Linked DNA regions of Mus musculus. The protein of the gene in region 2 interacts with the protein of the main gene of each other region in a biochemical or structural test. Links are inferred from orthologs where the notes say so. Each region holds a gene or a part of one and is shown on either strand. Other genes may lie near its edges.

Region 1 (4,290 bases), on a different chromosome or scaffold from region 2:
TTTCTGTATACCTGTGCGGCGTTCTGTCCCCTCGGGCAGTTGTGGTCATTGTCCGCTGGGCTCACAGCAGGGAAGGGCAGAGGCCATGGGCCTTCGGAACTCTCCGAAGTCACTCTGCTTCGCTTGGCCTCAGTTTCCAGAGGGGACATTAATAGGGTCTCGCCTGGCTGTTGGGTTCATTCCCTGTGTAGCAAGAGCAAAATGAATAAGACTAGACTTAGAGATGGAACAAGGACCAGAGGGACTCTCCGACACTTGGGGGGTTTGTTGTTAAAAGTACTGGTGGAGAATTGATTGTGGTGATTCTGCAGTGCTCAGTACCCCACGGGCTTTCCCCTGGCAGTGTGCTAGGCGGCACACTGGTGTGTTCAGGGAGAGCTTATATGCAGCAGACGTGCAGGTGGATGGAAGAGATATGCGCTGTCCATCTGGTTTCCCAGATGACATCCTGCAAGAGCTCAAGGTGAGGAGGAGACAGACTAGGCCTTGGACACAAGAGCGTGGCTGAAGAAACATCCATAGGGAACAACCATAGGGAAGACTTAGCTGGAGAAGAGATGACCCAACCGGAGGAGGAAAAGAGAGAATCCTGATAGACATAGGGTTCTTTAGGGACACTTGTTGACTCACAGAATGCAGCTGACTCAAACCCGAAGTGAACACTGATTGTTGTCCTTGAAAGATGGAAGGTTGCGGCGTGGTAGATCCCGCTGAAGGGCTTCAGGCCAGCCTATTCTTTGTGGGCCAGTGACTTCTTCCATTACCAGTGTCATATTATACTCTGAACCTTGCATAGGAAGTGTTTCTTGGCAGGACTTACACTGCCAGCCTCTGTTGGCATGCTACCATCTCTCAGGGGGTGTAATATAAGGTAGGGATTCTCCGGTCAGCTTGACCTCAGGCAAGTCACTGTGATTCCATAGAAGACCGAACTGTTTACTTCACATTTCCTGTGTGCTCATATTTTCATTCATTCAGGAAACTTTTTCCTGAGGTTGTTGAGGATGTGTGTGTGTGTGTGTGTGTGTGTGTGTGTGTGTATTGCATTTAGGTGCTTGCTCCCAAACCTGAAAACTTGAGTTCAGTCCTGGGTTCCTGGGAACCTAGGTAGCAGAGAGAGATAGATGACTCCTGCAAGTTGTCCTTTGACTTCCACATGCACTCATAAATAAAAGCAATACATTCTTTTTTTTTTCTTGAGACTTCCCTGGGGGTGGGGTGGGGTCTGGGGAACAGATGGCAAGAGACCTGGTCCTTGCAGTCCTTCATAGCTCCTGGCCCTAGGCAGATGATACAGGGACTTTGGCCAGCCTGAGATTACAGGGACCAGGGAGGGGGTGGAGGATATTCCAGGCAGTGGTGGGCTGGGCTGGGAATGTAGCAGGAGGTGGAGGGAGGCAGGGCTATATAAGCCCAAGCAGAGGGCTGGCTGGCTGGCAACCCCAGTAGCCTGTCCTGTGAGCTGTCGCCAGAATGGATGACATCTACAAAGCTGCGGTGAGAGATGAATCTTTAAGGGGTTAGGGTGGGTAGGTCCATTGGGGTTCCCTTAGCTAAGGATGGAGGACAGGGGTACACTAGGGAAGTGATGGGGGACTCAAAAGGGTCCCCACACACCTGTAACCCAGCCCCTTGAGCTGACATTTGGGGGATGCAGAAAGGGTAGCAATTCAGGGGTTTGTCAATGTGGCTAGGGGTATGGTCTCAGCTTTCAGCATCCTGTGTCTCCCTCTGTTTCTAACCTGTCACTGTCTTGAGTGTATTTGTGTTTTTATTCTTTAGACATCTGTTGGTCTTTCACAAGGTCTTTCCATCTCTGTTCCTTCCTCACGATGTCTCTGAGTCTTTGTCTCTCTGTGTGTCTCCAGGTCTGCGCCCCGCACCCCCTCCCAAGCTTCCATTTCTCACAATCTGCTTCTTACATACTCAGATCTGCCTCTCTCCTCTAGCCCCTGAGCTGGATGAGGAGGCTCTAGAAGGTGGGAGGGAATTGTGAGAGGGCTGGAGAACTTGAGTCCTGGGATGGGAAAGATGCTTTGAAGGTACAGGCCTGAGGAGAGGGAGGGAAGAAGGAATGGCTTGTTGGAACCTCAGTCCCTGGCAGGCTCAGGGGTTAGGTAGGAGTTGAGAGTGATAAGAGTCAGGGTTAGAGAACAGTGACCCTAAGACTGTTCGATTTCCTGGGGACGCTGAGGGACTTTTGATATACCTGCTTCAGAGACAAGAAAATCCTAGCAAACAGCTGTTCTCAGGAAATTCTCTCCCAACCCCCGGAATATGGCCCCACTTGTGAGCAGGGAAGGGCTGCAGCTGGTTCCTATGGTATCCTTGGCTATCTTGTAGGAGTCTGTGGAGCTGGAGTAGGGGGGTGGCCCTCCACCCAGTGCCCATACAAGGCCTGGCGGGGCTGGGGACTAATTTTGGCTCCTGAGGCAGCACCAGTAGGCCAGGGGGGCAGATAACACTACCCCACCCCCTGCATACCAAAGTCCCCAGAACAATCACCAGGTTTAACTTTGTCCCCCTTTAAAAATAGCTCAGTGGCCACCCTGGTCAGGTTACAGTGGGTGGCTTTGCTCGCCCCCACATTCGTTTTATTGTCTCAACCTGAGGGACAGCTGTCTCTCAGGCCATGCAGCTTAAGTTTCATTAGGATGACATAAAGGACATGCAATGGTCAATGACTATTGTCACTCAGGACACCTTGGTCCTGGGAGGGGTGCCTGCCTGTCACCTTGGCCCTAGCCCAGCCTCTGAGAAACCATCTGGGTCACCTTAGGGCAGGGAAGGAGGACTTTGTAACCTGGGAATATATTCTCCTTCTGTTATCATTCTTCCCACCTGTAGAATGGGGTCAGTCTCTAAGTCTGCTAAGGCCTGAGCTTGGGTCCTGAGGTCCTGAGTTCCCCTCTTCTCTCTAGGTAGAACAGTTGACAGAGGAGCAGAAGAATGGTAAGTGTCTCCCATTGAGGGGACAGCAGGGCTGGGGGGGCGTAGAGGGGGGACGCCTTTCCAGGAATGAACCCCAGATTAGAGGCTATAATCTGAGGGTTCTCCTTGCTGTGACCTCAAAGAACTCTCGAAGGGAGGTGGACAATTTCCTGGTGGCCCCAGGGACCTGGATTCCTAGTGTCCTCCTGGCTGCTGATCCAATCTTCTCACCCTCTGTTGGACCCAGAGTTCAAGGCTGCCTTTGATATCTTTGTCCTGGGCGCGGAGGATGGCTGCATCAGCACCAAGGAGCTGGGCAAGGTGATGAGGATGCTGGGCCAGAACCCCACACCTGAGGAGCTGCAGGAGATGATTGACGAAGTAGACGAGGATGGTGAGTCCCTTCACCCACTCCAGTCTCCACACGTGTATGTAGCACCCTGGGTTCACTGGCCCAGGAGCTACCTCCCCTCCATATCTTCACCATCTCATCCAGAAACTTGGCAAGTAGCTCATACTGTGATTCCAAGAAGGCTGAGGTAGTAGATCTGCTGTGAGTTTGAAGTCAGTCTGATTGGGTCACATAGCTCTCTATGGTCCAGTCCATCTTGGACTGCAGAGCAAGGTTCTATCTCAAACAAGAGGAGTGGGCAAAGGAACACACTAGCCCTATAGTGTGGGGAGGAGGGGGGGGGGCGTGGATTGCTGGAATGCTAACTGTTCTCTCTCCGGCCCTGCTGCCTACCCACAGGCAGTGGCACAGTGGACTTCGATGAGTTTCTTGTCATGATGGTTCGGTGCATGAAGGACGACAGCAAAGGGAAGTCTGAGGAGGAGCTGTCGGATCTCTTCCGCATGTTTGACAAGTGAGGACTTGCTTGGCTTCTGACCCTGGCCCAAGCAGAGAGGAGAAGGGGTGGTTTCAGCTGGGCAGTGGTGGCGCACACCTTTAATCCCAGCACTCGGGAGATAGAGGCAAGTGAATCTCTGAGTTTGAGGTCAACCTAGTCTACAGAGTGAGTTCCAGGACAGCTAGGGCTGCATAGAAAAACCCTGTCTTGAAAAGAACAAAAGCAAAAACAAACAAGAAAGATAGAAAGAAAGAAAGAGAGAGAGAGAGAGAGAGAGAGAGAGAGAGAGAAGGAAGGAAGGAAGAAAGAAAGAAAGAAAGAAAGAAAGAAAGAAAGAAAGAAAGAAAGGAAGGAAGGAAGAAAGAAAGAAAGAAAGAAAGAGTAGTTTCGGGTAGACACCCTGCAGTCTTTGCATCCAATGAGAGGTGAGACATAGAATGTGCATCTCCTAATGCCCCTGCCCTGCCTCCTGGGGTTGTATATGTGGGTTTGGCTCCTTCCCTCCTCC
Region 2 (3,569 bases):
CAGGAGCACAGAATGAGGCTGTGTGGATGGGAGGGTCTAGGTAACTGTCACAGGGTCACAAAACTGGTTCCCAGTATATGACAGGCCAACCTCTCCTCCAGGATCCACAACACCCTCCTGTGGGACACCCTGCAGTTGGTTCAAGGTCACCTCCTCCAAGAAGCCTCTCCTGATTCATTTAACTTGTTTTCAATTTTGTCAGCATACTGGCTTGGCCTGTTTGTCTTTATTAAGCTCTCTGGGCCAGATAAATTGCTCTCTCACCATGCTCCTCACAGCCTGTCAGCTCTAAACATGTTCTGTGAGACCAACAAATTTGAAGTAGTTGTTTGCTAGGCAAGTTAATTGAACTCGGTTCTCCAATTTCTATGCACTCATGTTCCTATAGCCACAACGAGAAGCTGAAGTGACAGGGGTAATGGTTACCCCTTAACTGATATGGGAAGCAAGTTTTAATTTCCCAGTCAGCCTTTCTCTCATCCCATTGTCCCCTCAGACTGGAAGCAGCCAGTAGTCTCTCTTCTGACACTGGCCTCCTAGGGGATCCTAGAATATCCTGATTCACACACTGACTAGAGCGCCTCAGGCAATGTAAGAAGTGGCAGATAGAGGCCAGTAGGCGGGTCTGAGGAGAGGGGCCCTCACCTTTTCTGTGTCTTCTTTCTTCACAGACTTGAGGTTGGCCCGCAGATCCATGGACACCTTGTGCTTAGAGCCCAGTAGGGCTCGGAGCATGGCATCGGCTGAGACACGGACCCGGCGCAGGGGAGGACGCTTGAACTTCCCACGGAGGTCCAGCACCTTCAGCTTCAGGTCCTTGATCTGGGGGAGCAAAGGAGCCAGGCTCTGACCTAGAGTTCTCACCCTGAGGATCCAACCACTGGGCTTCCAGCTAGAACCATCCTACAAGTCCTCCGGGCTCCAGGCTAGACCATCTGGGGTGCTCAGAATCTCCTACCCTTTTCCAAGCAATCACTACACACGCTAAATGTTCTAAATGAACTTTTACAGATTACGCCCACTAGTTAACCTTGCCTCTTCCCCATAACCAAGTCACAAATAAATGATAAGCCAATAAACCTTTACTCCCATTTGGAAGCCTTGTGTGGGGTGTAAACTGCTTTCTCCTTCCCTCCATCTTTGCTCTTAGTACTCAACCCTGCCCAGGGCCTGCACAGCAGCTGAGCCTTGACTGACACAGCAGGTAGAGGAGCCCTAAATCCTACACCCTGATAATCCCAGGGTGTGGTCTGCAAGGGAGTTCTCTGGAGCTTAATGGCATCACACAGCACCCTCGAAAGCAGGGTAGGGTACGGAAGTGCCTGCTCACCTTGGGCCAATGCTCAGAAGCAGCCCATGGTTGGTCCTAATGCCCACACACTCCACAATGAAGGGCTGAGTCCCGTGGAGTGGGAACTGGAGCACAGAGCACAGTGTGCATACTGGGACCCCCATTTTGTGACCCAAGCCCAAGCAAGTGCTTAGCCTTTGTGAGTCTGCATGTCCTCATTTGTCAGGGTCAGGTAATAGCCCCCGTGTCACCCGCAGGCGTGTAGGGAGGATCAAAGGATTCAACTGCACTTGAAAGCCCTTCACAAACGTAAGATGTCATTAACAGACATCTGATTGCTTGTGTGGGTGAGGGAAGCCGGCAGCTTCTGAAGAGCTCACGTGGCAGGTGGGGAGGAAGTTTGTTCTTTTCATGTGTGGCTATCCTTCCTGCCCATCTCCAGACCTGTGGTGTTGGGGTGGATGCTGAGAGCCTGCCTCCCAGGCTCCGTAGACCCAGGAGAGCCTCACAAGTGCCCGCCCAGGCGGTCCCATCCCCCACCTCCAGGGCCTACCTCTCTGGTGTTGTGGAGGCATTTGGCTTCAATATCATAGCGCTCCTCATCCACCACCTCTACCTTGGCATGGAGCTCTCGGCACAAGTCCTGAGGAGTAGATCCACAGCATGAGAGCGGAGAAGAGGGGGAAGGGCCACCGGGGCCAGCCTCCTTTTCCTGTGTGCACACTGAGCACGCTTAGCCCTATGGTCCTTCGCTTTGCCTGCACTGTAATCCCAACAGGAGCGGCCTCTGCATGGGGCTCAAAGCTGTCACCATCAAGGGAACAACTCAAAGCATAAGCCTTTGCTCGCCTTTCTGGTCTATGCTTGGTTTCTTTTTCTAGCTTTTTGTAAATGCTAACTTTTTTTTTTTAAGGTAGTATCACTATGTAGCCCAGGCTGGCCTGAAAGCCTTGCCATTGAGTGTGTCATAATCTTTACATATATGAATTCATAGACATAGGACATACAAGACCCACACTGATTCAAACCAGGCAAAATCCCAGCACAGAGAAGGGAAGTGGACACAAAGCCCCACCCCTAACCAAACAGTTATTTACAACTGATATTCGCTGGGAAAGGGGCAAACAGCTTTCTCCAATGGTGTCGCTATGTTTATTGAGTTCCATGCCCACAAGCAGACAGCCAACAAAAAATAAACTCCATGTCTCCATGTTTCCTCTGTTTTGTTTGACTTTTTTTTTGTTTTTTTGTTTTTTGGTTTTTGGTTTTTTTTGTTTTTTGTTTTTTTGTATTATTGTTCTCCCCCACCCCACGTGCCTTGATCTCTCCAGGGTCTCACTATGTAGTACTGTCCTGGCTCACTCTGTAGACCAGGCTGGTGTCAAACTCACAGAGTTCCACCCACTTCTGCTTCCAGGATACTGGGATTAATGGTGAGCACTACCACACCCAACCTGATTTTCTGACTTGCTTGCTACTGTTTTAATTTTCACGGTTTTTTGTTTTTTGTTGTTTTTCTTGTTTGACTGGTTGGTTTTGGTTTTGGGCTTTTGGTGTTTTTGTTTGTTTGTTTGTTTCTTTTTTAAGAGAGAAAGAACACAAAGTTAGGTGGGGAGGGAGTTGAGAAGAATCTGAGAAGAGTTGGAAGAGGAAAAATATGATCAAAGTATATTGTATGAAACTGTTTTAATTAATAAGTGCTTTTAATTCACAGCCCTCCAACCTCTGTCCCCTGAGTATTGGGATTGCAGGCTCATGCCTCAGCAGCAAGCTCATAGTTATTGTCTATAGATAGATAGATAGATAGATAGATAGATAGATAGATAGATAGATAGATAGATAGATAGTTTTGTGGTATAAAAGTGATATAAGTTAATAGTGGAAATTTTGAAAACTCAATATTAACCAAAAATAGTAAAATTAAAATAGCCACTGCTGTGGGAGACACATGGACATATTTTCATCTGGTCTTTTCTCTGCAGCCACTGGCGTTAAAGCAATTACTAACAGTTCAAAAAAAGCAAAGACTTGGGACTGGAGAGATGGCTCAGCGGTTGAGGGTACTGGTAGCTCTTCCAGAGGACCAGGGTTCAAATCCCAGTACCCACATGGCAGCTCACAACTATCTGTAACTCCAAGATCTGACATCTTCACACAGAAACACATGCAGGCAAAACACCAATGCACAATAAATAAATAAATCATTTTTTTTAAATTCCAAAAAAAATTCATCCTGAAAAAAAGGACAAATCTTTGGAGAAAGGGGCCTTCCGAAATC

Evidence for each region.
Region 1: the proteins of Tnni1 (region 2) and Tnnc1 are reported together in a solved structure, tested with the Homo sapiens proteins (2 studies listed by BioGRID, with this or other methods). The link is inferred for Mus musculus from reciprocal best matches to the Homo sapiens genes TNNI1 and TNNC1.

The regions. Positions count from the first base shown.
Region 1 is NC_000080.6:31,206,882-31,211,171, forward strand, and holds the start of Tnnc1 (troponin C, slow skeletal and cardiac muscles), read left to right. Parts: upstream 1-1,430; 5' UTR 1,431-1,473; coding exon 1,474-1,497; intron 1,498-2,921; coding exon 2,922-2,952; intron 2,953-3,178; coding exon 3,179-3,325; intron 3,326-3,682; coding exon 3,683-3,797; intron 3,798-4,290. UniProt on the Homo sapiens protein: Troponin is the central regulatory protein of striated muscle contraction. Tn consists of three components: Tn-I which is the inhibitor of actomyosin ATPase, Tn-T which contains the binding site for tropomyosin and Tn-C.
Region 2 is NC_000067.6:135,805,886-135,809,454, reverse strand, and holds part of Tnni1 (troponin I, slow skeletal muscle), read right to left. Parts: intron 1,935-3,569; coding exon 1,845-1,934; intron 823-1,844; coding exon 646-822; intron 1-645. UniProt on the Homo sapiens protein: Troponin I is the inhibitory subunit of troponin, the thin filament regulatory complex which confers calcium-sensitivity to striated muscle actomyosin ATPase activity.